2 linked regions of the Mytilus edulis genome follow. The protein of the gene in region 1 purifies or fractionates together with the protein of each later gene. This does not show direct contact. Links are inferred from orthologs where the notes say so. Each region holds a gene or a part of one and is shown in the gene's direction. Other genes may lie near its edges. The genes, in order: T-complex protein 1 subunit theta-like and phosducin-like protein 3.

Region 1 (16,484 bases):
GTTCAGAATATCAAGATATTTCAACCTCTTAATTTATACTGTTATTTCTCTCCTTTTCATTTTTTGACAGGAGTTGGTAGTGATTTCTGCCCCAAAAAGTGTATACTTAAGAATATAAAGCTACTAAGAAAAATAACGTTTTTACTTTTGCTATCTCAATGTACAAAAACAAAAAATGTATGTATCTCTTCAGGGCTGATGTTTAAATGAAACCTTTATTATAAATTTTATATATGCAACCTTTGACCTACCTGTATGCCATACATACTGGACCCAGACATAAGTACTGGCAGCAAAAAATAACCATTGTACAGGTATAAACAGATAGCACACCACATCTGAGGTGACAGCAATGCACACGAAAAACACGGAAAATGCCTGAAAATATTGCATACAGAAACATGTAAAAGAAATGGTTTGGAGTCAAAAGCTACAATTTTCTCTCTTTTAAAACAAACTTTTTATCACTAGATATACTTGATCTTAAATAGGAATAAATAGTACATTAAATGTACAATAATGGTTTGGAGCCATAGGTACTGCTATTTGGTAAAATTTACAGTACACATTCATGTAAGCCTTCAGGTAATTTAGTCAAAAATCGTTCTTGCTATCAAAACTTAGCTTGTATTAAGTGATTCACTGTGGAAAAGAATGGTTTCTAGTGACACTCTTGTTCTATGAAATCTAGATATTACTGTCTAATGGAATTATGTATTATTTAGGCAGACATTTTCCCAATTGAATGGTTTTACACTAGTCATTTTGGGGGCCTTTTATCAATGTTTATAGCTTGCTGTTAGGTATTAGCTAAGGCTCAGTGTTTAAGACCGTATGTTGACCTCTAATGGTTTACATTTACAAATTGTGCCTTGGATGGAGAGTTGTCTCACTGGCACTCATACCACATCTTATATCTATGACAGAGGATATCCACAATTGAATCTCTCACAACCAGCAGCGTTTCTTGTATGGAGAGACGTCCAAACCAGGCAAAGAGGGACTACATATGTATGATTTGTCAGTAATTCATGTTTGCTTCTATAACTGCAGCATCAATGTTGCATGTATATTTTGCTCCCCAATAGCTCTTAAATATATGTTATATATGACTAACAAGTAACAAGGATTGTTACATGTAGTTATACTGAAATGTTCATGACTTACATAATATAACTGGGTTTTTTTCTCTTAATTTATTTGTACACTCAAAATTTTGGTTTAAAATAATTGTACAATATTTCTTAAAGAGACAAACAACAAATGTAAATGAACACAAAATATTTTTTATTTACATATCAGGGCTCACACTACTTCAGAATTATAGGGAGAAGTGACTTCTCTTTTTGAAACTGATAGGGAGAAGTGCTCATTCGTGCAGTGCGATACAATGTTTGGATTTTACAATAGTATAAAGGGCCATATGTAAATAATGTTCTTTTTATACTGTTCAATTCATATCTGAGTAAAAAAATTACAATTAAAGTAACATTTGAAATTAAAAGTTGTCTAAGCTTGTGAGAAACTACCAACTAAATATCTAGCACTAAAAAAATAAAAAATATTTAAAAAAATGTTAAGAAATTATAATATATCAATTACAATTTAATTAAAAATTATCTTGTGTATGACATTCAGTGTTTCTCATAAAAAAATATAAAAGTTATTAAGCTGGGCCATAATATATTGATATTAGTATAATAGTCTCAGAGTTAAGCAACTTTAATCAATAGTTTGAAACAATCCATAAAAAATATAAGGAATTATATACAACAATCAATTAGATGTAACCAAAAGTCTCTTAATGCGTGTGGAATGCGTAATTTTTCCCTTTGGCATCAATATTCTTCTGTCAGCTGTTCCATCCGTGCGTCCGTAGTAATTATTGTAAAAGTACGGATTTCGGTCATAGCTGGTCCAGTTCAGATCCGGAGATTAGAAATCGGTCAATGGCGGACGAATGCAAGAAAATTTACAAAAATAAACGATGTTTGACAAGTTATTTGGAAAGGAACATGACGTTTTTAATGCAATAAATGGATTAAAATTTACTGGAGGCAACTTTTATCACGTTTAAATGAAGTAACAAACTTATTTTGCCGCCAAAATTGAGGTTGATGTACGTTTTCGAGTAACAAGCACCGGTATTTGCGGAAATGCACGAAGTGATAAAAAGTTGTATTTTTATCAAATAACCTGCTACACACTGCGAAGACAATGCTTCAACCTCTTTTCAAAAGATGATGAATCGTTTATGTCTGAATTTCTTTCATTATCATTAAAAATTTGATGTTTTATCAACTTGGTAAAAATTAAAAATGTCCGATGACGGAAGCGACTGAAAGCGACTGTCGTCAAGAACAGGGCGACTTGTTTTCGCTTTTGGGGGTCGGGGAAAGCGAAGTGACTGTCGGGAAGGCGACTTCTTCGCCCAAGTCGCCTGGTAGCGTGAGCCCTGACATATTATGATTAATAATTGAATGCTTAACTTACCAATCCTTGATATTTGAATGAATCATAGACACTTCTAACCAATAACCAGAATGGCCACAGATACTCAAACCGGAACTCTAGTATAAAATCTGCCATTAGGACAAGAGCCCAAACCATCAAAAACTTCAGGTACAAAAAGGTACTGAAAGAAAACAATTAAACAATTCAAAATATTTTGTTTTAAAATTTTTAATTTAAGCTGGGCAATTACATTTCTGAATAGGGTTATAATCGCAATAATGTAAACTCGTATTTTAAATTTTTTTTATATGAATTCAACAGAATTTTTCAATATTGCAAAAAATGAAATGGCATTTTTATTCTAAAATGACAAAATCGCAATAATAAATGCACCTATTAACATCTGAATTTACAGTACTATAGACACTGTAAAAACTCAATTATTTTACTTGTGCAGCCTGCATCATTATCTAAAGAATTGAAGATACATTTGTACTTGGTTTTATGTTTTAAATTTACAATTAACATGTTTAAGCTGTGCAATAACATTTATGAAAAGTATGGACATTGTGAGAACTCAAATATATTACTTGTCATGTCAGCATAAGCCACTAGTATAATTTTGTATAACATGTATAAGGTACAATGTATAGAGGAAGAATGGAAAGTGTGTCCCATGGATACAGATTTACAAAGGGACAAACATTGTACAATGTACATGTAACTCAAGAACAGCAAAAGTGATACCCCCTAAGGCCTAAATTCAAATTTGATCTGTGCTTAGTGGTAATAAGCATAGTCAAGCCGCTTTAAAAAATTTGGTTCAAGCAAACCTAAAGTTAAAGGGTGGAATGGCAAAGTTTTCAATTTATCCATTTATACAGGGACATAACTCAAACACTATAAAAGTGACTCCAAATTGGAGTCCACCAAATTCAAATATGATATGAATTTGGTGGTAATAAGCATTCTGTACAAGTTTCTTAACATTTAATTGAGGCAAATTTTGTCGAAGATCAGAAACTAGTATGGGAGGTTGGGACAGACAAGGGTAAAACAAAATGTCCCTTCAGCACCAGTCATGCCAGTTGGGGCAAATAAATAAACGAACAAAGTTTCAATGTCCTTTGCATTGCACATATTTTATTTATCCAAGGTTCAAGGTCATTAACTAAAGAAACACTTTTTTTTTTCTTTTCTATAAAACTTTTGATTTATATCTTAGAGAAATGAAGGCTTAGAGCTACAATGTTATGTATTGTGATTACCATTTACCATAAAATTTTCTGGCATGAATTTTACAAATGAGGGGGGTTAACAATGTGATTTTCCAGATAAATTATGTATCCAGGGGCATAACTCTATTAAAAATAAATTATAGGCCATTATTAGGCATTATAAAATATGATTTTCAAACTTGTCCAGGACATTGCTGATTTAATCATATAATATATAACATGTACAACATGTATAAGTTTGATGTAAAAAATGGTAAGATTTGAACCCCTGAGAGTCATTCTATGTCCCCCTAAAATCTACGAAACTTATGCAGAGTTTGTTCATTGTATCTGTATAAATAATGTTATGCTGAGTTTGGTATGGTCTGACTTGGATGTTATAGTAGGCCTGGCAGTTCTAATTGACTTCATCCTGCTTCTTTTAGCAATTTTCTCATTTTTTTTATTTTTTAGTGTACATGTACGAAAAATGAATGTCCTACTGTCCTAGGCAAGATCAATGCTTTAAAAACTTAAATTATAAAATTAAACAAGTAAATTATCACTGCTAAAACAAAAATCACCTAGTTTGTAGCCGTACTTAAACATGTGAAATGTATGACGATAAATCAAATATGAACTGTAGCATAAATTAAAATGCACATTTGCTCTCCACAAATGATCTGATCAGAGTACATGCAGTACGTTCACAGTAAATCCTAATAAGTCATAAAGTTTTAATATCAAACATAATGAAATTATTACACATTTAGGACATAGTGTTAAAAATCAATTGTTACCTAGGAAACTTTAATTAAAGTGTGAGTGAGAATATGGCATTTTGACCGGTGTACACTATTGATAATGTTGATTATATATATTATCTTGGTTAATATGGGAATTTACATATTGAATTTGGTTCAATCCAGAACTTTTAGAACTGTAAAAATAAATTGTATTGCTCAATAAAATGCATTTTCAAATTTCAATTATACAATAACATATAATTAAGGACACTGACCAGGAAATATTAAATAAAAAACCCTAGATCTATCTGTTATTTTTATGAATGATTTCATTCTTAAATTAAAAATATGAGTTAATAAGCTATATAAATAACACAAACAAAAATAATGCAGACTGAACAGGGGAAATAATCCTGTCCAGGTAACCTAATTAACATGAAAATAAAGACTGCGAACAAAGAATCTGGTGTCGCCATGTTATCATCCTGTCCATTAATAGTTAGCATTGGACATTATGATGTGTTAAATGGAACATAAGACAACATAATAAGGTATTTTGGAAACAACATCAATATTGGATTATACATATTTATCCTCTGAAACATTTTTGCTGCCATATTGGAAATGGAAAATCACCTTCCGTAGAAACCGTCCGTTATTTTTGTTCTTTTGGGGATCCGTCTAATTTTGCCGCAATCGACATTCCGTCTCTTCATAATCATCCGCTAACTAATTGTCAATTTTCACAACTCTTAAACTGAATATGTCCAAAACAATAACAAATATTTGTGTATTGTCTTCTGCTCTGTCAACTCAATCTTCGCATGCGCTTAGATCCTTATTTTCCGTGTGACTCCGTAATGTCTCGTCTCTTTCCGGCAGGTGTCTGTTTACTTGAATGAAGTGTTGATTTACTTATATTTTCAACAACCATAATACAGATCATTATTTTTTATTCAAACTAACAAGGACGTATAACTAACAATTAAGTCGATTTAAACAATAGATTTTTTTTCTTAATTAAATTTAGTTAAAATTTTGCTGTTTAAAAAAAATATAAGTAAATGTTGTTTTTTTTGGTTTTTAACAGCAGTTTGTGGAAACGGCCATATATATTTTGAAAGTATGATATATAATAACTTGTATATGACAAAACCTTTCGGCCCTCGGGACTGATATTGATCTCTCGTGATGATACAGTATAAGTTACGGATTTTGTCATGTATTATGTCTGTTTATCATATATTTAGTACTAAATACAGCAATTTTGTATATCTAATAAAGGTTATTTTTTCCAGTTTGTAACACCTACTCTGTATTGCATAATCCGTATCGCATACCTGGCGTGACGGTCATAAATCAAATGACGTCAACATTTGACCTATGACGTCCAGTTGCTGTATTTTCTGGCATAGGAAAAAAACTGTGCACTCAGATATGTCATTTCAACTGAAATCGATATTTTTCAAAAAAATATTACCTATTAGTACTTTATGAGCGATTTTTATAAAATAGATAAAATCAGTCTTTTAGTGGGAACTTACTCATGTTACTTTAGTCCAATGATTATGTATATATAGGAATCCCCTATTTGTCTGTTAAGTAATCTTTTTATTTTATTTGCCAGTTTCATATAGCTCTATATTGAGCATGTAATAAGGTTGTAGGGGACATTACGATGTGGATATTAAGAAAATAAGGAAGTCTATGAATAAAAAATCAGCTGGAAAAATGCATGTTCTTTTTTTGGTTATATTTTCAGATGATTTGATAAAAACGTATTTCATATGAATCTGATTCTATTAAAAATATATGATAAATAACTATATATAAGCAAAGACTGAGTAACACTTTGCGAGTAAAAAGAAATTTAACGGGATAAAATATGATCAGATATGAAAGGATATCCCATACTCGAGTCCCATACCTAATTTGGGAGAATGGTGAATTTATGGCATTGGTTCACTTGTTACAATAAAACAATCCGTGGCATATTTACTTTACTTTCTTTTATAAATCTATTTTTGTGTTCTCTCCCGAAAGAGTGTAGTTATACAGCAAAGTTTTGATTAGAAAAATAATTAATCAAATATATTTCTTTAATTTTTCTTGCCAAACGATAAAACCTTTCAAAGTCTTTATTGAACGAAGAGTCCCGACTATTAAAAATATATTGTGCTGCATAATAAAATCGGATGAGGATTAGTCCAAAATCTGAACCTACCATTTGCAATTAAGAATATTAATATCAGAGGGAACATGAGTACTAACGGTTTCAAGTTGATTGGACTTCAACTTCATCAAAAACTACCTCGACCAAAACATGCAAGTAATCTGAAGTGGGACAGACGGACGTTAACTGTGTGGATGTATTTTGTTTGAGGGCCTCAATGAAAATTAGACTAGTTCTAATTGAGTTACCCTCTTTAAATAAAGAATTTATTATTATATTATTATATTACTATTATTATTACATTGACCTTCTAGATCTGCACAGAAGACTAGATCGTTCAAAAAGCTAGTCTTCGCCTATTTTATTGTAATGTAACATAGTAATGTAGAACATGATTTTTCTAAATTATGTTCTACAATACCATGCGACAAATTATGTGACAAATGGTTGCCGAAATTGGGACGACTGGCATATTGTGAAACACCTCTTAACCAACCGATCTAAATGAATCGAGAATCTATTGATGAAGCTACATGTACTATGTCAAGACGAGCGCCACTATACTTCCCTTCTGTCTATAGTCAAGATATATACTAGTAAACAAAACGATACAAGGCAGTGTATTTTCCATATATGATGAAATTGGATACACCTGCACCGGGCGGAGGTTAAATATTTACCTATTGGGATAATTTTTACAGAGGGTTATTTTCTCATCAAAACACCATATTAACATAAATAATTGTCAAATGACAAACCTCCATAGAAGCTTGCATAAATATATAAGCTCTTTAACAATAGATAAGTTGTATATACCTAGTATTACAATATAGGCTAAAGCATATTTCAAATCTATCCAAATCAAGAGAAGCGTGAATTAATAAATTAAACAGAAACTGCAAAATATCATATATCACCACCGCATTTAATCTGTCTGTCTGTCTGTCTGTCTGTCTGTCTGTCTGTCTGTCTGTCTGTCTGTCTGTCTGTCTGTCTGTCTGTCTGTCTGTCTGTCTGTCTGTCTGTCTGTCTGTCTGTCTGTCTGTCTGTCTGTCTGTCTGTCTGTCTGTCTGTCTGTCTGTCTGTCTGTCTGTCTGTCTGTCTGTCTGTCTGTCTGTCTGTCTGTCTGTCTGTCTGTCTGTCTGTCTGTCTGTCTGTCTGTCTGTCTGTCTGTCTGTCTGTCTGTCTGTCTGTCTGTCTGTCTGTCTGTCTGTCTGTCTGTCTGTCTGTCTGTCTGTCTGTCTGTCTGTCTGTCTGTCTGTCTGTCTGTCTGTCTGTCTGTCTGTCTGTCTGTCTGTCTGTCTGTCTGTCTGTCTGTCTGTCTGTCTGTCTGTCTGAGTTATGATCCTTAGACTTATAAAATTCACTTTTAAATAAATAATTAGTTTTTAGCACTTTTTTTTCGTCATGCTTGAATATAGATTCTTGTTATTTGAATATAGAAACTTGTTATTTGTTATATAATTGACACTCTGAATGACAAGTTATAGATTAAGTTTGAATTCTCTCACAATAAAATGAATTTTTAAACGGTAACGGACTATATGATTTGCAACTTCAAAGAATATTTCCGGATATTGGAATGATGAGATGGAATGGTCACACATTATTACTCATATTGACAACTCGGCTAGAATTATCGCACCAGATGACTTAGAAAGAATGAAATTAACACTTCCCTATAAAGTAACTAAAGCACTCTGGGAAGACAACACTCAACAGATTGAAACATGGCGATGCACGTTCCTAAGGCACCGGGCTTTGCCCAAATGTTAAAAGAAGGTGCTAAGGTGAATTTAAGTTTGACATGAAATTAAATGCATATTACATATAATTCTATCTGATACTCCGCGCTTGACTTTCAAACGTAACCCACACTAACAGTAATGATTACTGTAGGCAAACCCATGTGGTTTCCATGCTTCTTTTATTTAGAATGATCTGGAATGTTCTCATGATTAATCGAAAAAAAGAAATGATTTTAACATCTACCGCAAGGCCCTACAATAATAACTAAATTTAAAAGTTGCCATCAAAGTTCTTTGTCTAAATTGGAAGTCAAATATATACAAGTTGCAAAATTTAAAAAAAAAAGGGTGAGGGAGAGAATATTGTGTGTAGTGTATGGCAACGAAATCATTGACATCCATGTAATAAATTTTAGGTTATAATCTAATGAAAAGGTTAGAGGGCAATTCTCACATTTATTGCCACATAAGGAGGGCCAGTCATTCCCTACATAATATAAAATTTTCCAACAAAAGCCGAAAGGAGGGACCCCTTAAATTAATACATCTCCGGACAAGGTGCTTTAACACTATTCAGGAACATTTGTTGAATGATTTAATATGCTTTCACTATAAGAACTTGGTCCTGGTGAAATATGTCTGGGCGAACAAATATTACTAGTATAAAAAGTCCATGGTTACAGAATTTACTAGTATATTTAGTAATCATTATCTATGTCCCTAGACTAATTGTCCTAGGAAATCATGTCCTATAAAATCCTATGATAAATTCAATTACATAATATACAATGGAAATTTAAATGTTATGTTTAATATTGTTAAAAAGTTGTGTATCAATTTTTTTGATAAAATTTATGTCCCCAGACTAATTTTCCTAGGGAATCATGTCGATGTCATTAATATTCCTAGGTAAAAGTGTCCTTGTCCTATATTTTAAAAGGCAAATTTCATAAACAATAGAAACTCAATATTTATGTTTTAATATTATTAAAGAGTTATTCATTACCATTTAATAGAATTCATGTCCCAAGACTAACTTTCCTAGGAAATCATGTCCATGTCATTAATATTCCTAGGTAAAAATGTCTTTTATTTTAAATGGTAAATTTTAACATTTTTTTACAGTTGTGTATCAATATTTTAGTTAATTTAATGTTCCAGATTAATTTTCCAAGGACATCATGTCCAAGTCATAAACATGGTTATCACGTATATGTCCTTTATATTAATAGGAAAACATACTGAAACTTTCCAATCTCAAGAAAGAACATTTTTTTTTCATTTTGATTTTTTTTATAAAAATATAGTTTATCAAAAGTGTGGTCAATTTCGTAACTAATCCAGCGTAACATTTACAAGAAGTTTGTGCACCTGTGACAAATATCTGAGTTAAATAACAAAATTCTATTGAGTACATGAATCAGAATGTTGTCAATATAAAAGTTGTCAATAAAGATATCGTCCTTAGTGGATACTGTGAAACATGTTTTAGTGGCACCTTGGATGATTATCTTTGTTTCACAGTTTTCTTCCTGTCAATTTTTACAACTCTTTAACTGCAACCATTTCAGAACCCGCCAAAATTTTTCATTTACTTTGTTGCCTTTAAATCATGAAATTTTACACCCACTTTATACAGTATACATTTTGAAAATACAACAAAAGATGAAAAATAAAAGACAATGTTTTTTTTCTATCTTATTTGTTATTCTTATTGTTCTCGCATTACTATTCAAAATAAGAATAGTATAAGTACCCTAAGAAAATACAGAGATAATAATGTTGACTTTGTTTTCTGTAATACTGCTAATTGTATTCACCTAGTCACATGACCAAGTGTGACAAACATAATGTTACTAAAAGTAAATGACCTTGCTAAAATATAGTGCAGAAAATCCTGTCTTAAAAATAAGACAGAGAAACTATTGGGAAACACATTAACAGTCAGACAACTAAGTTGTTCATACTTATAGTATGTTAATTTCACAATATTTAAAATATTGAATTCTAAAACAGAAGCCCTGTCTTTCAACTACTTCAGAAAATGAAATTTAAACTTGGAATTATCAACTTACAGGACAGATGGCCAATTGAAATTACATTTCAATTAAAAATACAAAAAAAAAGAAACTTGGAAGAGTTCTCTAGGTACATGTATCAGTGTTCTAACCTAATACTAAAACTCTTTCAAACATACATGTATAAACATGTCCAAAGTGTTCTTAGACTATACCATATGAATATGCTTAAAAGTATCATGTAAATTCTTGTGACAAGGCTGAAACTGGAGTTAATTTATTTCCCATTGGTAATTCTTTGTTCAGATATGTATTACCTGTTATGTTTTGCCTTTGTATTACATGAACTTGTACAGTATGTAAAACTCCATTTCTTCAATAATTACACCATTTTAAAATTTCCATGCTGTTGAAGAAGAGAAGCAGTCTGTTTATTTATTTTTGATGTACTTTTTGCAGCACTACAGTGGGCTAGATGAAGCTGTTTACAGAAATATTGAAGCCTGCAAGGAACTAGCGGCAACTACTGCATCAGCTTATGGACCACTTGGTAAGTGTCAAAAGCAGGTTGTCTATAAGCTCCTTGGCCTATTAATTGATCTAAGTTTCTCTGAAGCACATATATGTTCTTGTATGGATAAATGATTGTTTGATGTTGACCTTTTAATACCTTAGAATGACAATTTATTTTTCTTACATGACCTTTAATATGATGGTTATTTGTTGAAATTAAATGTTTATGGTCAGGCATGTTTATCAGATACTATAAGCAATAGGTCAACTTTATTTGGTGTGTGGAATGATTGCTTCTAGAACACTGAAATTACACAAAGATTACAAACTAAATTTACATGATCATTTTTCAATTCTGCTTTTCAGGTCAGAATAAAATGGTCATCAACCACATAGAGAAGCTGTTTGTTACAAATGATGCTGCCACTATCTTACGTGAACTGGAAGTCCAGCATCCTGCTGCAAAGATGATTGTGTTGGCATGCCAACAGCAAGAACAGGAAGTTGGAGATGGAACCAATTTTGTCATGGTTTTCACTGGGGCTTTATTAGAACATGCTGAATCCTTACTCAGAATGGTAAATTGTGTAATTTCAATGAATTCTAGACTTCTTAAAAGTGATTATGTTAAGTTAATTGCAACTTTTTTTCATGATGGCTGACTGACTTTCAAACAAAATGTTCAAAAATTTACCAAAAAGTATTTGTTCATTTCACCAGATTCATGCACTTATGAGAGTTTCTTCCTTAGGGTCATCTCACTGGAGATGTTCCTCTCATTCTTGCCATTATTGACCAGCCATTCAGAAAAAAATCTTTCTCAATACAGATATTTTCTATTCATTATGTAAATTCTAACATTAGTAATCATCAAATAATTTAATTTTGGATGTAACAAGTCTTCTGAATGATTGGCGGAAAGTGTTTGTCTATCAAGTCATAGACATAATTTTGTCATGTATTTTCATGATTTAACCTCAAAAATGGAATTTATAAGTAAATTATAAGGAATGAGTGTTATCTTTTTTCTGTCTGTTCGAAATATCCTAAAAAATGTGGTGCACACTTTTAAAGAACATGCTTCAAGGGTTATTTAGTGAGCATCCCCATTTATGATGTTATTTCTCCATAGATAGCAAAAAATATTACAGTCATTCCTAAAATTATAAAAAAGTATGTAATTTATGATATATCAATGTTTGTTATCTTTGCAGGGTTTATCTGTTACTGAAGTCACAGAAGGTTATGAGTTAGCCTGTAAGAAAGCTTTAGACGTTCTTCCTAGTAAGTTTGTTAACAAATTGTCAACACAGCCATTTAAAAAATAAACAATGACCCTTTGTTTTGTGTTTGTATACTTTTTACCTCTGATTATTGATAAATATGAGTCTCATTCAGAGTAAAATATATGACCTTATAAGTTGCTGCCATCTGCAAGACATTTTCCTGAACTTTTTCATTTTTCTTTAAAGGGGCACTAGCTGCCAAATTCCTGTTCACCGATTTGACTCAAATTCTCATATTTTATTTATAACAATGTAAAACATTTTCCCAAACTATCAAAAGTATAAAATAAACAATTTACATGACATGGTCTCAATAAAATGTAGCTTCATTTCATGTGAATTTTAGCCAAGACACCATCTAATTAACTATGGAGTTGACCTTCTATGACCATATAAGCGATGTAAACATAAACATAGAAGTCTGTTAAATTTTGTATAATAGATAAAAAATTTATGTTTATCGTCGTTTTTACCTTTATAAGAATGATTTTGTGTTGATCGAATCAGTTAATCAAATTATTTACCTTTGTTTCACATTCAATGTTGACATTCTTTTCCTTTAAATAACCGTACATGGGCAATGCATGCTTTATTCTATCTCTTTCTACGGGGTGAAATTGGAGTTCACATGAATACGGATTTAATGAGGTCTTGCAAGTGAATAATTCATTAGCTTAATTTGACAAAATTGAACCATTTTAGCTGATAAAAGCAAATTATTATTTCACTATTTTACTTTCATTGATGATTGAACAAAAAAATTGATACTTTTGATTTTTTTGTATATCTTGTAGCTAGTGCCCCTTTAATGAAAAAAAAGCTTTATTGTATAATTTAAACCATTTTCACAGTTTATCAAGTCCAAGTAAGTATTAATACAAAAAGAGTTTACAAAGAAATGAAGAGTCACACAATCATAATTATCCAGTAATAATTTCAGAGTCTACAATCCTCATGTCAAATCACTTAGAGAAGGACTTTTTTCAGTTTATATACTTTTGATGATATTGATGTATATATTAGTAGTTAACAAGTTTATATGATGTTAATTATTTAATTTATAGGTTTAGTCTGTGATGAACTGAAGAATCTACGAAAGAAAGAAGATGTATTAAAGACTATACGAACATCAGTTATGAGTAAACAGTATGGAAATGAAGATTTTCTAGCTAATCTTATAACAGATGCTTGTAGTAAGTAATCAATTCAGCAGAAAATGGAAAAGAACAAAATGTTCAAGGTTATATTTTGTGGCATTCAATTTATATCGAAGCTTGCAAATAACCGTTTTTGTTTTAATTTGTATTTTCTGAAAACTGATGAGAAGTTTCTTAATGGATGCATGTATGGAGCAAAATTTGAGTAAAAAAGAAATTGTTTTAATCTACATATTGATGTTTATACCTCTCAGTATTTCAAATATACTTTTGATTGGACAAACATGATTATTTTTCTTCTTGTGATTTGTATACTCAACCAGTATTTGGCTCAAAAAAGGAAAATACAGATACATTACTATTTGTATACTCAACCAGTATTTGGCTCAAAAAAGGAAAATACAGATACATTACTATTTGTATACTCAACCAGTATTTGGCTCAAAAAAGGAAAATACAGATACATTACTATTTGTATACTCAACCAGTATTTGGCTCAAAAAAGGAAAATACAGATACATTACTATTTTTTTTCAAATCAAGCTGCTTCATATACTGATATTTCAGAAATATTTGCAATGTTTTAATTATTTTGAGAGAATACTGGAAAAGATTATAAAATATATTGTTTTGTATTTCAGTATCAATACTCTCAGGAAAAGCGACATTTAATGTAGATAACATCCGAGTTAGTAAGATTTTGGTAAGTATAACGGAAAGGACATTACAATTGCATTTTCTTGGATCTACAATTAAAATAGCTTGTAGTGTTTGCATTAAAGAACATGAGAGAACTATAAAATGTTGTAAGTAATAAACATCCTATAAACAATGTGGTAAATAATAAACATCCTATAAACAATGTGGTAAACATTCACATCAAATAAGACAAAATAAACCAAATATAACATAGTTCATGTTCCAATTCAAGTTAATATCTGTTTTTATGTAGCAAAACAATCAACACTCACAATGTTGCTTACTTAAACAGTGTATTCAAACATTTAGAAGTGATAAACTGCATGTATTGAGTTCTGGAAAGTTTGTGGTCCTAAGGTTTTGAACACCAAAATTTCCAAAAGACCGTCACAATTTCAGTATTTTGCAATAGAAATGATAGTGAATAAAAGCATATTTCCATCAAGTACCACCAGGAGAAAAAGAATTCTGCATGTATACCATGTTAAAAAGAAATGTAAATAGTGAGATATGGTAAACCTTATTTCACTACTTTACTAGTAAAATTACTGTATATGAAGATGAATAGAGTTTGCAATAGTGATTATACGACCGCAAAATTTGAAAAATTTTTCGTCGTATATTGCTATCACGTTGGCGTCGGCGTCGTCGTCGGCGTCGTTGTCGTCGTCGTCCTGCGTCCGAATACTTTTAGTTTTCGCACTCTAACTTTAGTAAAAGTGAATGGAAATCTATGAAATTTTAACACAAGGTTTATGACCACAAAAGGAAGGTTGGTATTGATTTTGGGAGTTTTTGGTCCCAACATTTTAGGAATTAGGGGCCAAAAAGGGCCCAAATAAGCATTTTCTTGGTTTTCGCACTATAACTTTAGTTTAAGTTAATAGAAATCTATGAAATTTTGACACAAGGTTTATGACCAGAAAAGAACGGTTGGGATTGATTTTGGGAGTTTTGGTTTCAACAGTTTAGGAATTAGGGGCCAAAAAAGGGCCCAAATTAGCATTATTCTTGGTTTTCGCACAATAACTTTAGTTTAAGTAAATAGAAATCAATGAAATTTAAACACAATGTTAATGACTACAAAAGGAAGGTTGGTATTGATTTTGGGAGTTTAGGTCCCAACAGTTTAGGAATTAGGGGCCAAAAAGGGACCCAAATAAGCATTTTTCTTGGTTTTCGCACCATAACGTTAGTATAAGTAAATAGAAATCTATGAAATTTAAACACAAGGTTTATGACCATAAAAGGAAGGTTGGTATTGATTTTGGGAGTTTTGGTCCCAACAGAATAAGGGGCCCAAAGGGTCCAAAATTAAACTTTGTTTGATTTCATCAAAATTGAATAATTGGGGTTCTTTGATATGCCGAATCTAACTGTCATGACTGTGTATGTAGATTCTTAACCTTTGGTCCCCTTTTCAAATTGGTCTACATTAAGGTCCAAAGGGTCCAAAATTAAACTTAGTTTGATTTTGACAAAAAATGAATCAGTTAGGTACTTTGATATGCTGAATCTAAAAATGTACTTAGATTCTTGATTATTGGCCCAGTTTTCAAGTTGGTCCAAATCGGGGTCCAAAATTAAACTTTGTTTGATTTCATCAAAAATTGAATAAATGGGGTTCTTTGATATACCGAATCTAACTGTGTATGTAGATTCTTCATTTTTGGTCCTGTTTTCAAATTGGTCTACACTAAAGTCCAAAGGGTCCAAAATTAAACTTAGTCTGATTTTAACAAAAATTGAAATCTTGGGGTTCTTTGATATGCTGAATCCAAAAATGTACTTAGATTTTTTATTATGGGCCCAGTTTTCAAGTTGGTCCAAATCAGGATCCAAAATTATTATATTAAGTATTGTGCAATAGCAAGTCTTTTCAATTGCACAGTATTGCGCAATGGCAAGAAATATCTAATTGCACAATATTGTGAAATAGCAAATTTTTTTTTAATTAGAGTTATCTTTCTTTGTCCAGAATAGTAAGCAAGAAATATCTAATTGCAAAATATTGTGCAATAGCAAGATTTTTTTTAGTTGGAGTTATCTTTCTTTGTCCAGAATCAACTTAAATCTTTGTTATATACAATATACAATGTATATTCACTTTTTACTACCAACTGATAAATTAAAATAATCTTTACCATTCAGTGATAACAAGCAGTTTTTTTACATCTTAATATTTTATGATGTATTTAAATGAGTAGTTATTGTTGCAAACTCCATTAGAAATTTTAATTGAGATTAGTTTTGGAATAAGGGAAAGGGGAATGTGATTAAAAAAATTGGGTTCAATTTTTCTCATTTGAAATTTCATAAATAAAAAAGAAAATTTCTTCAAACATTTTTTTGAGAGGATTAATATTCAACAACATAGTGAATTGCTCTAAGAGAAAACAAAAATTTTAAGTTCATTAGAACACATTCATTCTGTGTCAGAAACCTATGCTGTGTCAACTATTTAATCACAATC
Region 2 (16,452 bases), about 7.8 Mb from region 1:
CACATCTACTTACTATGGTGGATAGTTGCCTCACTGGCAATCATACCACATCTACTTACTATGGTGGATAGCGGCCTCACTGGCAATCATACCACATCTACTTACTATGGTGGATAGCTGCCTCACTGGCAATCATACCACATCTACTTACTATGGTGGATAGCTGCCTCACTATATGGTGGATAGCTGCCTCACTGGCAATCATACCACATCTACTTACTATGGTGGATAGCTGCCTCACTGGCAATCATACCACATCTACTTACTATGGTGGATAGCTGCCTCACTGGCAATCATACCACATCTACTTACTATGGTGGATAGCTGCCTCACTGGCAATCATACCACATCTACTTACTATGGTGGATAGTTGCCTCACTGGCAATCATACCACATCTACTTACTATGGTGGATAGTTGCCTCACTGGCAATCATACCACATCTACTTACTATGGTGGATAGCTGCCTCACTGGCAATCATACCACATCTACTTACTATGGTGGATAGCTGCCTCACTGGCAATCATACCACATCTACTTACTATGGTGGATAGCTGCCTCACTGGCAATCATACCACATCTACTTACTATGGTGGATAGCTGCCTCACTGGCAATCATACCACATCTACTTACTATAGTGGATAGCTGCCTCACTGGCAATCATACCACATCTACTTACTATGGTGGATAGCTGCCTCACTGGCAATCATACCACATCTACTTACTATGGTGGATAGTTGCCTCACTGGCAATCATACCACATCTACTTACTATGGTGGATAGTTGCCTCACTGGCAATCATACCACATCTACTTACTATGGTGGATAGCTGCCTCACTGGCAATCATACCACATCTACTTACTATGGTGGATAGCTGCCTCACTGGCAATCATACCACATCTACTTACTATGGTGGATAGCTGCCTCACTGGCAATCATACCACATCTACTTACTATGGTGGATAGCTGCCTCACTGGCAATCATACCACATCTACTTCTGCCTCACTGGCAATCATACCACATCTACTTACTATGTTGGATAGTTGCCTCACTGGCAATCATACCACATCTACTTACTATGTTGGATAGTTGCCTCACTGGCAATCATACCACATCTACTTACTATGGTGGATAGCTGCCTCACTGGCAATCACACCACATCTACTTACTATGGTGGATAGCTGCCTCACTGGCAATCATACCACATCTACTTACTATGGTGGATAGCTGCCTCACTGGCAATCATACCACATCTACTTACTATGGTGGATAGCTGCCTCACTGGCAATCATACCACATCTACTTACTATGGTGGATAGCTGCCTCACTGGCAATCATACCACATCTACTTACTATGGTGGATAGCGGCCTCACTGGCAATCATACCACATCTACTTACTATGTTGGATAGCTGCCTCACTGGCAATCATACCACATCTACTTACTATGTTGGATAGCTGCCTCACTGGCAATCATACCACATCTACTTATTATGTTGGATAGCTGCCTCACTGGCAATCATACCACATCTACTTACTATGTTGGATAGCTGCCTCACTGGCAATCATACCACATCTACTTACTATGGTGGATAGTTGCCTCACTGGCAATCATACCACATCTATTTACTATGGTGGATAGTTGCCTCACTGGCAATCATACCACATCTACTTACTATGGTGGATAGTTGCCTCACTGGCAATCATACCACATCTACTTACTATGGTGGATAGTTGCCTCACTGGCAATCATACCACATCTACTTACTATGGTGGATAGTTGCCTCACTGGCAATCATACCACATCTACTTACTATGTTGGATAGTTGCCTCACTGGCAATCATACCACATCTACTTATTATGTTGGATAGTTGCCTCACTGGCAATCATACCACATCTACTTACTATGGTGGATAGCTGCCTCACTGGCAATCATACCACATCTACTTACTATGGTGGATAGCTGCCTCACTGGCAATCATACCACATCTATTTACTATGGTGGATAGTTGCCTCACTGGCAATCATACCACATCTACTTACTATGTTGGATAGTTGCCTCACTGGCAATCATACCACATCTACTTACTATGGTGGATAGTTGCCTCACTGGCAATCATACCACATCTACTTACTATGGTGGATAGTTGCCTCACTGGCAATCATACCACATCTACTTATTTTTATACAGAAACACTGCAGTCAAATACCCACAATCACCTAAATATTTAACTAAGAGATATTTTTGACTGAATCAATTTATGTAAATTATTTCACATATCTTATTTTGCATATGCAACATTTTTGAATTTCTCATGTTTATAAGGTGCACAGTTTTATCTGCTTTCACAATGTCTCTGTTTGAATCTGCACTGGTTTTCTTAGTACAACCAGAAACTTCTTGTAATTTATATAATTGTGTTTAATGTGTTTAATGATGAAGTTCAGGTGTGATTATGACCTGTGTTTATATAAAATCCCACCGTTAAGTTGTGTGCCAGAGAGAGACTAAACTTACAGATTGGGTAACAGGTACTATCATGTGACTATAGGTATCAGTATCAGATTCCACCTGTACTTGTTAATTATTGGTTTTATTAATTGTGTGGATAACAAAAAAGACCTTGAATGACGAATTTCTAATCCATTGTACTATATAAGTTAGGCCAAAAAAAAATATATGTCTGTTTCCTGTTTCCCGACCGACCCTGACTCAAACCCCCCGACCCTAGATCTTTTTATTCAAATCCGGAAAAACATTGTTTCCAGTCGGGAAAAATTCATTTCCAGTCCGATCCAGATCCGTATTTTACTATGCCCAAACATCAAAATGGCTGCTCCCAGCACAAATGTGCTACAATTAAAGTTTAAATAATGTCAGCACTGGGAGGATTATTCAATTAAAGCTTCTTTAAAGGGATTAAATCATTTTGGGGTACAGGACCCTCACCAAACATGACATTTAACGGACTGCAAATCTGACCGGGAGTGCAAAAAAAAAATAAATAAATAAAAAAAAAAAAAAAATCCCGACCTACCGACCCTGATTTATTTGCCTTGGAAGCAGGAAACAGACATATATTTTTTTTTGGCCTTATATATAAAGTTTAATTCTTTGATTTGTCTTTTTTATTTCATTCCAGCTAACAAATTTGACCTACTTGTATAAGTAGTATAGATTTATCTTTTATAATTATATCCAAGTATCAACAACAAACCAGGCCTTACCAAGTGTTTTTCTGTTCTTTGTCTTCATGTGAACTTCTTCTGCTTCATCTAATACCAAATTCATATATTCATCAAAACCCTGGAATGAAAAAAATATGCTTGTATATTTCACAGATCAGTAAATTGAAATTTTTAAAGTCTTAATATGAAATAACTGTGTATATATAAAACTAGAGGCTCTAAAGAGCCTGTGTCGCTCACCTTGGTTTTTGTGAATATTAAACAAAGGACGTAGATGGATTCATGACAAAATTGTGTTTTGGTGATGGTGATGTGTTTGTTCATCTTACTTTACTGAACATTCTAACTACTTACAATTATCTCTATCTATAATTAACTTGGCTTAGTAGTTTCAGAGAAGATTTTTGTAAAACCCAACAACAGGTTGTCCGATTCACCTGTAAAATTCAGGGCAGATAGATCTGGACCTGATGAACAGTAACCCCATGTCAGATTTGCTCTAAATGCTTTGGTTTTTGAGTTATAAGCCAAAAACTGAATTTTACCCCAATGTTCTACTTTTAGCCATGGCGGCCATCATGGTAAGTTGACCGGGTCACGCCACTCATTTTTAAAACTAAATACCCAAATGATGATTGTGGCCAAGTTTGGTTTAATTTGGCCACGTATTATCAGAGGAGAAGATTTTTGTAAAAGATAACTAAGATTTACAAAAAATTGTTAAAAATTGACTATAAAGGGAAATAACTCCTAAAGGGGTCAACTGACCATTTCGGTCATGTTAACTTATTTGTAAATCTTACTTTGCTGAACATTATTGCTGTTTACAGTTTATCTCCATCTATAATAATATTCAAGATAATAACCAAAAACGGGGAAATTTCCTTAAAATTACCAATTTAGGGGCAGCAACCCAACAACAGGTTGTCCGATTCACCTGAAAAATTCAGGGCATATAGATCTTGACCTGATGAACATTTTTACCCCATGTCAGATTTGCTCTAAATGCTTTGGTTTTTGAGTTATAAGCCAAAAACTGCATTTTACCCCTATGTTCTATTTTTAGCCGTGGCAGCCATCTTGGTTGGTTGGCAGGGTCACGCCACACAATTTCTAAACTACATACCCCAATGATGATTATGGCCAAGTTTGGATTAATTTGGCCCAGCAGTTTCAGAGGAGAAGATTTTTGTAAAAGATAACTAAGATCTACAAAAAATGGTTAAAAATTGACTATAAAGGGCAATAACTCTTAAAGGGGTCATTTGACCATTTCCGTCATGTTAACTTATTTGTAAATCTTACTTTGCTGAACTTTATTGCTGTTTACAGTTTATCTCTATCTATAATAATATTCAAGATAATAACCAAAAACGGGGAAATTTCCTTAAAATTACCAATTTAGGGGCAGCAACCCAACAACTGGTTGTCTGATTCATCTGAAAATTTCAGGGCAGATAGATCTTGACCTGATGAACATTTTTACCCCATGTCAGATTTGCTCTAAATGCTTTGGTTTTTGAGTTATAAGCCAAAAACTGCATTTTACCCCTATGTTCTATTTTTAGCCGTGGCGACCATCTTGGTTGGTTTGCGGGGTCACGCCACACAATTTCTAAACTAGATACCCAAATGATGATTATGGCCAAGTTTGGATTAATTTGGCCCAACAGTTTCAGAGGAGAAGATTTTTGTAAAAGTTAACGACGACGGACGACGACGGACGCCGGACGCCAAGTGATGAGAAAAGCTCACTTGGCCCTTCAGGCCAGGTGAGCTAAAAAAAAAGAAGTAGGGCTTATCATATACTGGTAGTAACTTATCTAATCATTGACTCTATTCCTTTAAATTTAAATAATCAAATGCAAGATTTAATTTTACTTTACCACATATTTACATTGAAATCAAATACCAGATTATTTTTTTTAAACAGCCAATTTAATCAATGAATGATTGGCTTTTTCATAATAAAGATATAATCTTACCACAATACATCCTTCTATCCTGAGGTTTGTCTGTTCATACAGCCATACTGAGATCCTGGATCTCTGTTAATACAAAAAGTAATCAGTAAGAAAAAAAGTCAAGTATTTCAAAAGCAAAATCAAAATTCAATGATTAAGTGTGCATTTTTTTCTAACAAAAATTTTGTAAACAATGTGTGGCGTTTGTTGCTGTTTTCTATACGCTACAAAAGTAGAAACAAATACATCGTTTAATCAATGTTAACTGACCCTGTTTGAACTTTTAATAACGCATGCACATGTTGTTGGTTAACAGACTTTTACAAACGTAGAAACAAATACATCAGTTAATCAGAGTGAAGTTATAAACAAATGTGGTGTTTGTTCTAACAAACGATGAAAGACAAACTGTAGACACATTTTTAGAGAGTGCATAATTTGTCAAAGTTTATGTAAACTTTGCAAATGTATGTTAGAAACAAATGATCAAACCATGTGCATGCTTAGCCGTTGGCATCGTTTGTGTTAAGAGAGAAATGCACCCTTGAACATTATTTTATTTGGATTCAAGAGATGAACCATCTTCTCTTTTGAAAGTTGTTTATAATGGAACATTTAAAAAAACCTAGTTTGAAACAAAATGCTAATCTATAAAGCTTCCCTTTTGTCCGTCTGAATACAACATACAAAGATGTTTGACTTTTGTAATGCTTTGAATAAGATTTATTAGTAAAAGGAAAATTAATTTCAACAATAAATCAGAATTTATATACTTACATTTTGTAGATATCTAAAAATCAAGTTCTGTGTAACAGTTAAGGAAAATACTCTTTCTATTATACATTCATAGTTTAAACATATTCATTTAAAGTGGATACATTCATGACATTATAATTAGAAGTGAGTACAGTGCATGTATAATATTACCTTTAACATTCAAGGAACCAACCTTTAAGGCTTTAACTAACGTTACATGCATGAATAACATTTAAACATGACAGAATTTTGCATGTTTTTAGACATATTTTTTTTTATAGATTTATAGGAATCATTGTGTGAAAGCTTTACAAGTAATTATATAAATATATACATAAGGTTCAAAGGTTGGTCTGCAATTAGCAAAAAATATAGCTCGTCTTTCATTTTTAAAAAATTATTACTCAATTTGAAACAGACATAATGATGGAAAATATTTGAATATAAAATATAATAATAAATAAAATACACAAAGAATCATTATTGAGACATAAAAGTATGTATATAGCTGTATGTATGGTTAGCTAGGGATCACTTTTCAAATATCTTCAGGTTTGTAGGTCCTTTTAAAAGACTTCTTTATATAATGTATATTTCAAAATTAAATTATTTTGATCAGGTTTATATATTTATTATATTTAAATATATAAACATGATCAAAATTTTGAAATATATCTATATAGATAAAAATCTGGGTTTTACAAAATTTAACAGTGATGACTGGGAATCCTTAACTATTTGACATTGACCGTAATAGCTTAGTATTGAATGCAAAATCGTAGTGGTTGGCATCTATAATGATTTGAAAAACTACCGAAACAGTTAACCAATCAAACAAATTACAAAAGGAAATTGGCAGACCTGGAGAATTTGTTTGCAATCAGGACTGATTTGTTTTTGTTAGTCTCTTTTCCACTGCACAGGGTGGACTGCTTTGTGGGTTGTTTTGTAAATTTGAGCCCAATTGAGGTGTAAACATAGCCATGTTTACATTTGTTTTCTTATGCAAATGTGACCCTTTCGTTATTTAAAAGCGTAATTCGTCAGCATTATCAATCTTTGTGAGTCATGTAGCAGGAGATGTAGTGTGTTGTCTGTACAGTCAGTTTGATTTTTTAACTTTCGTAAAACGGAAGTTTTGTACACAACTACAGTTGACTGGAGGTAAATACATGTTGTGGTTTACATGAAACTGTGAAATCTTATGGCGATTTCTTTCATTAATTTGAAAAAAGGATACAATAGGTTGTACCATAACCTTCTGAACTTTCTGTCCTCCTTTGTATGCCATCGTTAGAGGCTTCCAAAAAATTTGCTATAATAGCACGTTGTGAAAATGGCGGCGAATAATATTCGACTGATCCTGCAGACCGACGAAAATGCCAGATTTAAAGTGACCATAGCAAGAAACGAACCACGCTAAAGAGGAACCAGTTAGCGTGAGGTTCCGACGGGATAATTTTTCAAAATTCAGACAAAATAAGTATTACATTTCTGTATACGGCTCTACAACATTGAACATAATGATAATAATTATAATAACAATTAATAATAAGATTATCATCCGTTCTAGTAGTCAACAAGTCCCACTTCAAACTTTGCCAACCTTTTTTTTTAAACCTCAAGAGCAAACAAAAAAATAAATAATAAAAATAAAAAAAACAGAAATGAACTAGAGGTACTGCGATCCAGCATTATAACTAATAAATTATACACAAAGCGTAATGCAAATTGTATGACCTGCCAAGACTTAGAGGACCCCAAAATTTCCGTTATATATGACACGAGCCCGAGGATACTGTTATATATTTTTTTCCTTTTGGAACTTATATTTTTTCCCCACAAAACGGGGAGGTTGCCCCCCCCCCCCCCCCCCGAAAAAAAATCCGCCCGTCTCAGTGATAACGTTACGTCCTTTAGTATACCAGAGACATAAATTATGTTATGTCTCTGAATATACATGTACTATAAATTAAAACATATAGATAATGCCGGTTTAGGAGAATTAGGAATGCTATAATGATAGGCACCCAAATATAAAGGAAACATGCTTTTTGGTGAACCCTTCAAATAATTCTAAAGAATTTAAAGAAAAATAGGTGGTGCACGTTTTTCGTCGGAGTTCGGTAATTTTGTTACTTTACTTTTTGTGCAATATTCCACTTTATTGATATCTAATCAAGGTTTAGAGAATTTTAAAAGTTGAAATAAGAAATTTAAGAAGACTGCTTTCGGATACAAACTGTAACGTACTTAACTCAAAATAACGACTCGACAAAGACCATGAAGACAGTAATTTAGTAAGGGATCAAACCTCTAGAATAATATGGGACCCGAAAACATATTATATATAGGAGACGGACAATGGCATTGTAATATAAAGATTCTAAGCAAGATTCAATGATATGTTAATGATAAAGGGTTTAACAGGAGTAACGGGGGGAAAGTGTGCCTTCTGTATAGTGTGCAGATATGGTTAAGTCAAAATGGCATTCAAACTGAGATCATTCAGATATTTGAGAAGATGAAATGAAATAGGAGGTGCAAAATACTGCAGACATCATATACGTTCAGGTATTTCACATATAATCTTTTATAATAATATTCTTTACAAATTAAGCACAAAAATGTCGGCATTCACCTCATTTTAGCTTAACAAAAGATTTAAACAGACTTAGTCAATAAGGGATATAGTTACGATACTGTTGTCAGGTAATTAAAGATGGCATATTTTGGCTTTAATATTGGTTCACTTATAGGGTCTCCTCATTTGAAATAATATACAATTACTGTCTTTTGATGAGATAAATGTGTGGTTTTGTTGACTTTTGAAAAAAAAACTCATATTCACTAACTTTAAGGCCAACGACCGAAGTGAATGTTACTAGGGTTTTCAAAAATCAATTAAACCACATATTTACCAAAACAAAAGATCGTCATTATTTTATTCCATGTTCCGAGAGAAAAAAATATGTGTAAAAAAACAATTATTTACCAAAACCAACTAAACGTAAAATATTGTATCGTTATACGCAAATGCACGCGACGTTTTGAGCGGTGAATATACTTTTCCGCAGGTGAATATGCTTATTTGAAAATCCCATTCATGAAGTTCTATCAATATGGAATAAACGCATTTTTTCTCAAACCAGTTGTTGGCATATGATACGGGTTATGTTCTTCTCATATATTTTAGGATGGTATGATACTAAACCACTAACGGGAGGACTTGTGCTTGATATTTATATGATGAAGCACAGGGCTGGCACCAGTCTCAGGAGAAAATATTCCTATATACCTTAATATAACATTATTGAGGTATATAAATACAGTGCCTGTGTTAAAAACACCGGGTTTTAAAAAAAGTGTATGATTTCCAAAGAATTGTTGTCCATACAAACGCTAAACAAATTTTTGTGATCTTATGTAGCAAAGATATTCCAGATGGTTTGTGTTTTAACTAAACTTCGCTTGAATTACATTGTAATCTATTGAAACAGCTGTGTGGTAGATAGATGCTTTATATTCTCTAAAAACTAAAAGAATGTTGACAGGGAAATTACAATATGAATAGAGTCAAATACGCTGCATAAAAAGACGTTGATGTAAACAGCTGCTGTACAATAATGTAGAATGAAATACAACTGCATGAACATCATAATGACATAATTAAACTAAATACGAAGAAAACCTCGAGAAGAAAACTGACCAAGTGTTGAGTTAATCCGCAACCTATGCTACCTTTACGCCGTTTACAAAGTTACAAGAGAGAAAAATTGTTTTTATTTAGATCAATATTTGAAGAAATTTGACCCCTAATTGAGTTCCGACTACCAATTTAAGGATCGAAAACCTGCTCTGGTTATATGTTAACCTAAGGATAAGCACTGGTATGACTATCTTAATTATGTCCCAGATTTAGGATTTGTGTACACAGTGGCGGACCCAGAGGGGGTCCTGGGGATTGGAACCCTATCTTTTTTGGACTATCAATGCATTTGAATGGGGACTTATAGTTGGAACCCCCATTTATCCTTTCCCGGTCGGGTGATCCCCCCCCCCCTTTAGGCTACACTGTCTGGATCCGCCCCTTATAGAAATGGCCTTGCTCTGAACCACATGCAGTTACTTATGATAAAAAATACCATACATAAGTTGAAATTGGGTACGAATAATCGCTAATAAATAAAATTATCTGGGATTATCTGTACATCCTTGAGTTATAGTCCTAGGTAAGCTTAAAAGTGTTTATTTATGTCAAAATGTACAGGAATTATAGTTTAAATCACCGCAAGAAGTTGTTTACCGTGGATACTGCTTTTTCGATGTTCACAAAAATGATAGAAATTTAAAGATACAATATTTCTGGGAACAGTATATCTAATCATGTTCCCGAATATTTCGAGCACTTGCTTAATTGTAATCAACCCGGAAATAAAAACCTGATCCGAGCCGACGTTTATATTTCCTTATATGGTAATATTGAGGACTTCCTGTTTATCAACCGATCCATGTGTGAAATATCATATGAGTAACAGTTTCCAGAAGCTCTGATATCATTCCAAGCTTAAAAGATAAACATGGACGTAAGTTATTTAATATGGCGTTACTTATAATGTTTGAAAATAACTTTTAACATGATAAATTTTGAGAAATCTCATTGAAAATTGTCAAAAATTATGATGAAGTCTTTAGTTTATCTGCTTTTCAAATACTAAAATTTGCATATTCAATTGTCATCAGAAATGGACCTCTCTGTAGTTACTTGAGCGAATCCAGGCATTTTCAAAAATGTGGGTTCCTCACCTCGGATGAAAAAGAGGGGGAAGGGGTGTGTTCCAACTACATGTATATGTGCCCATTCAAATGCATCGAGTGTCCCAAAAAAGGGGTTCCTCCCAGAACCCTCCTCATGGAACCACCATTGTCTTAAGTATAAGATGAATAAGCCTAGAAATTGTACCTGTGACCAGAACTATACCTTGGACTGTTTTCTACTCTTAGGTAAGGTTGTTGTGTAAATGTACATGTAGGTCTCTGTTTTCATTTTCCATTTATCTTTTATTATTTATATGCAAATACATGTGATTCACAAATCTTGGAAATATGTACATGTAGCATGGTAAGTGACGGGTTTAAGTTTGATATTTTAGAATAGACTGGGTGTCAGTCTGACTGGTGTGACCCATTCTTATTACAAAATACCTGACTGTAACATGTGTAAGATACACAACATTGTATGTTTACAATTACATTTACCAAATCTTTTGAACCCAAAGATGCATCAAGGTTTTAATTTTATCTATGTCAAAATACTGAGCTTTAGACTCAACTGAAGGATACATCTAGTAAGCTATCTCATGTATTTGCACCACTGTTTCACAACATGTACATGTACATTGTAGCTTAGGGAGGTCTAATGGAAACTGTGAGATATTATGGATTGCCCATACTGTTATTATATGTATACATTGTATTCATGAAATATCATATTTTAGGACCCAAATGCAGATACACAGTGGAATGATATTCTCCGACAGAAAGGAATTCTTCCACCAAAAGAAGAGAAAGAAATTACAGAGGATGATATCATTAGTATGGTAGAAAACACAATAGATGAAAAATCACATGGTAAAATTTCATAGTAATCTGATCCATTTATATCCAATGCATTTATACATACTGGATTTATCTCATGGTCATTTGGAACCAAACTTGGCCATTATGTCAAAAAGAAGAACTGTTCTCCCCCGGCCTTTTAGCATCATGTAAATGTGATGCTATAATCATAAATGTGATGCTATAATTGTAAATGTGATGCTATATATATCTGAAGTGGTTTTCTTATAGATTATGTAATGGTATGATTGCCAATGAAACAATGAAACATTTTATTCTGATATACGACTACGTTTAAGTATGTTATAATTCAAATCTGAAAAGTGAGACATTTTTGAGTTTGACAGCCACTGACATTTTAAGATAGTGTAAGAAAATAATTGTAACTTACTGTTAATTAATTAAGCATTTAAGAAAAATATACAATATAACATCTATAATACCAAAATTGCGAGGTCCAATTTATCAGCCGTCATCACGTAAAAACGATGAATCAAAGAATTCAACTTTATATCTAACTAATATAGTACAATGCTGTTGATTAAAAATTACACCACTCCAGACCCCTTTGTTTCCCACATAATTAATATTGCCAATAATTAAGAAGTTCCCGGTCGAATCTGATACCGATACCAAAAGTATATTCACCTGTTACCTATTACCTTATCTGTACGTTCCGCATCTGACAGGCGCACCACCAAACGCTGTATTTAGGATTTTGCTATATACACCGGTCGTAATCACAGGGTTGACACTACTAAATTCAATCATTGTCGCATTGTTCCCGATTGTAGTATTTAAGTCAGTATGACTTTCTAAGGTGACAATACGAATAATATAATTCTGGACTTAAAATAAGGCGTATAGGTACAGCATGTACAGTTTTCAATTTGTTAGCCGGAATGACGTAAAACAGCGAATCAAAGAATTCAACTTTAATTATAACTCATTAAGGACAATGCTGTTGATTAAAAAATACTCCTTTTCAGGGACTTTTGTTTTCCAAATAAAATTAATAATACCAATAATGGATAAGTTCCAGGTCGACAGGTTCAAACAGAAAGATGTTGAAAGCAGAGAAAACTGTGCATCTTATAATCGGCATGACTTTATCAGATGACAATACCAATACTAAAATAAGGCTTACGCATAGTTATATTCTTTAATTCAGCCACAGACCCGCGATATCACGGGTGTGTTCTAGGACTGACACTACTAAATTCAATCATTGTCAAATTGTTCCCTATAGTGTAGTTTTATTCAGCAATCAGCAAGACTTTCTAAGATAACTAATATAGGACAATGCTGTTGATTAAAAAATACTCCATTCCTGGATAGCCAAGACCTTTTGTTTTCCAAATAATTAATATTTCCAATAATTGATAAGTTCCGGATCCAGGTCGACAGATTCAAACAGAAAGATTTGAAAGCAGAGAAAACTGTGTATCTTATAATCGACATGACTTATCAGATGACAATACCAATTACTAAAATAAGGCTTAGGCATAGTTATATACTTTAATTCAGTCACGTACCCGCGATATCACAGGTGTGTACTTGTATTGTAATAAAAAGGATCAGATGATCACCTATTCAGAATCTACAGGACTGTTTGTAATCTCATTGTTCGTACACCAAAATGAAAATAACATTTTGTCATTGGTTGAATTTCTTTTGTTAATTACGTTTTAAAACAATCACAACTTTTTGGTGTACACTTTTGAAAATATTACCCAGAATGCATTCTGAAACGGCGAGTTAGCTGAATTTTTTTATTATAGGTAAAGCATTTGATGACATGACTTTAGATGAATTGAATGAAAAAGAGGATGATGTTGATGAAGAAGAAGAAAGAATCTTTGAAGCATACAGGTAAGATTTTCATAGCCAATTCTTGTGGACTCATGTTTATTTCTAAAACACAAGTTTGTGTTACGGTAACTATTATTTCATTCAATTTTATAATTGGTTGATAATTTATCAGATCGACATGTAGCATGCAAAGACTAACAAAAGTTGTGAAAAAGCTCAGGATTCTCTCTAAGGCAAGTCCATGAGTCCTGAACTCATGAACATCTGTCTGGACTCACAATTAAATAAGTCAAAAGATGCATTAAGATTGAAATTTTTTGTATAAACTTAACACACATATCAATATTATTTTACAGCATAAGTTTGAAAGTAATCTGTATTTAATGTCTTTTAATAGCTTTATTTATAGGCTTTATTTGAGACTAAAATATATAAATTATATAAGATATCTTCTTCTTACCTAAAGGACTCACCATGGCCAAAAATCTTCAATTTAGTATCTAAAAACTTACAAAAGACACAACATACTTTTATAAGAGTACTCACATTTAATGTACTTAAAGCTTGTTCAAAGTAAATTTCAACTAAGTAATAAACCATGTTTTTTCAGACTTAAGTATCAGTCAAGACACATACATCAGATTTACTATAAAAACATCATACCTGAGTGCTAGACAACAAGTCTTATCATGTTCTATAATTAATTCAGTCATTAAATATATGTTTATATAACAGGAGACAAAGAATGGCAGAAATGAGGGAAGCTAGTATGAAAGCCAAATATGGATGTGTCAAAGAAATATCAAAAGTAGATTATGTAACAGAAGTTAACCAAGCAGGGGAAGGTGTATGGGTAGTTTTACATGTGTATAAAAATGAGTAAGTAATTTTTAAACACAGCTTTGTAAAATTAATTTTGAAATTTATTGTAATGACATAAATGTGTTACCGTACTTAAAAGCACAGAAAATTTAAAGATTAGAAAATATCACATGAATCCATCCAAAGTGACATATATAGAGAGTAGTTTCTAAACTATTATAAATCTAAGACCGGTCTTCAACATGGAGCTTTGGCTCACACCGAACAGCAAGCTATAAAGGACCCCAAAATGACAAGTGAAAACCAATTCAAACAGGAAAACCAACAGTCTAATCTATATACAACACAAGAAACCAGTTACACTTAGAACTACATCAACAAATGACAACCACTGGACAACAGGTTCCTAGACAAAGGTATTAATGGTGACTATATATTATATAAAGGTTTGAGTACCCTATGACTATACTTTCAAATAAGAAAAAATATATTGCAAAAAGCAGAAATATAAACTCAACTGTGCAAGTTTGTAGCAGATAGACAAGTTGAAAAGTAAATCAATTTCTTTTGTGTGATTACTCAAACTGTGTATATATGTAAGTCTATAGGTGAGTTAATATATGTTTCATTTTCTTTTTCAGTATTCCTTTATGTAAGTTAATCAATCAACATATCATGAACTTAGCGGGGAAATTCCCTGAAGTTAAATTTTTGAGAAGTGTATCATCTGTGTGCATTCCTAATTATCCAGACAAAAACCTACCAACAATATTTGTGTATTATGAAGGAGATATGAAGAAACAGTTTATAGGACCACATGAATTTGGTGGAATGAATTTTACGCAAGATGGTAGGTCATGATATATAACTTATGCAGAGTGTTAGATTATAAAGGCCTTAATGCCAAAAATAGCTGTGATGTTTTAGAAGGTTCAAACCTTAGATATATGAAAAAAGTATTTAACTTGGAACATTTAAACTTTCTAGCTAGTTTTGCAGTAGTTTCTGTTAGTAGGAACCAATTATATATGTTTATTACATTGGTTGACATGAATTACATTGATTTCCCAGTGAAATAAGAACAGATAATTTCACATGTGAAATAAACGTGGTTATTTCACTCATCTGACGTCATACAACAATAGGTGTTTCCAAGACGTCGATAACGTCGGATCAAAACAAATTGTGAATGCGTAGAAAAAGATAAAGTTCCTTACATTTTCTACTTTAATTTTAGAAAAAAAGCCATTTGCCAATGTAATAAAAAGAAACACTAATCAAAGAATTCAAATATGGAAAAATATTCAACTCGTGACCGAACAACACTGATAATTAACTCATTGGATGTGCACAATGGCATTTTATGGTTAAGATTTTGAGAATATTGCCATAATTCTAATTAGGGGTTTAGGATGATTTGCTGATTTAAACTGGGTAAGTCTCAGATAAAGCAATGACTAAGTCTATGATTTGCTCATTGATATGCAAAAATTATTTTGGATAAAAAAGTAAAATTGGAAGTTCAAAATGGAATTTTTTGGTAAAGATTGCACGACATGCAATCAAAACCATAGGTTACTAACTTGATATCTAAATTGTCTAAAGTTTATCGATTCCTTCGCTATACATAAATATATACTGTAGATTCATCATTATTTGTAGGATACCAAGTTTTGTGGATTTTATGGGTTAATTTGAATCACACATTTTAAGGTTGAACACAGTGCATAATTTCTATAGGGATGTATGCAGACTTTTGTCAATTAACAAAATCAAATATCTACCAAACATGCCAAAAGACAATTCTCTCTGAATCCAAGAAATTGAGTACCAACAAAAATAAATGAGCCCCCAGTAGTGCATTGATCATATCATTCAATAATCCTATCCATAAATATTTCCAGAAATTTATGAATGAAATGTATGCTCAGATCTTCAAGTCACAAAATGATGTTATACTTGTCAAGAAAATAACATTACTTTTGCAAGGTGCAAGAATTTAATATCTGTTCTAAAATGAAAATGGGGAATGTGTCAAATAGACCACAACCCAATAGTAAAATATGAGTTTAGATAATATTCCTAAAGTATTGAACATATATAGAAATTCTAGCTTGGAAACAAACTCCATTATCTTGTATATTATTTAGAGCTTAAACTTGAAGCACAGGTGATCTCCACATGGCACGAAAGACATTAAAGTCATCTTAAAATTTTGGAGTTGTCTTCCTTTGTCTAGTATTCCAATGGAATCAACTACAACCAATGCTTTATAATATTACTTCCC

The links.
Region 2: the proteins of T-complex protein 1 subunit theta-like (region 1) and phosducin-like protein 3 purify together in Homo sapiens (affinity purification with mass spectrometry; 3 studies listed by BioGRID and IntAct, with this or other methods). This does not show direct contact. The link is inferred for Mytilus edulis from reciprocal best matches to the Homo sapiens genes CCT8 and PDCL3.

Annotation. Positions count from the first base shown.
Region 1 is NC_092353.1:31,339,580-31,356,063, forward strand, and holds the start of T-complex protein 1 subunit theta-like, read left to right. Parts: upstream 1-8,234; 5' UTR 8,235-8,320; coding exon 8,321-8,380; intron 8,381-10,815; coding exon 10,816-10,906; intron 10,907-11,235; coding exon 11,236-11,447; intron 11,448-12,083; coding exon 12,084-12,153; intron 12,154-13,219; coding exon 13,220-13,348; intron 13,349-13,953; coding exon 13,954-14,015; intron 14,016-16,484. Other genes in the region: macoilin-like, read right to left, coding at 252-378, 2,494-2,635, 5,054-5,139. UniProt on the Homo sapiens protein: Component of the chaperonin-containing T-complex (TRiC), a molecular chaperone complex that assists the folding of actin, tubulin and other proteins upon ATP hydrolysis.
Region 2 is NC_092353.1:39,173,734-39,190,185, forward strand, and holds the start of phosducin-like protein 3, read left to right. Parts: upstream 1-10,360; 5' UTR 10,361-10,492; coding exon 10,493-10,498; intron 10,499-11,410; coding exon 11,411-11,543; intron 11,544-13,312; coding exon 13,313-13,403; intron 13,404-14,078; coding exon 14,079-14,222; intron 14,223-14,806; coding exon 14,807-15,015; intron 15,016-16,452. UniProt on the Homo sapiens protein: Acts as a chaperone for the angiogenic VEGF receptor KDR/VEGFR2, increasing its abundance by inhibiting its ubiquitination and degradation.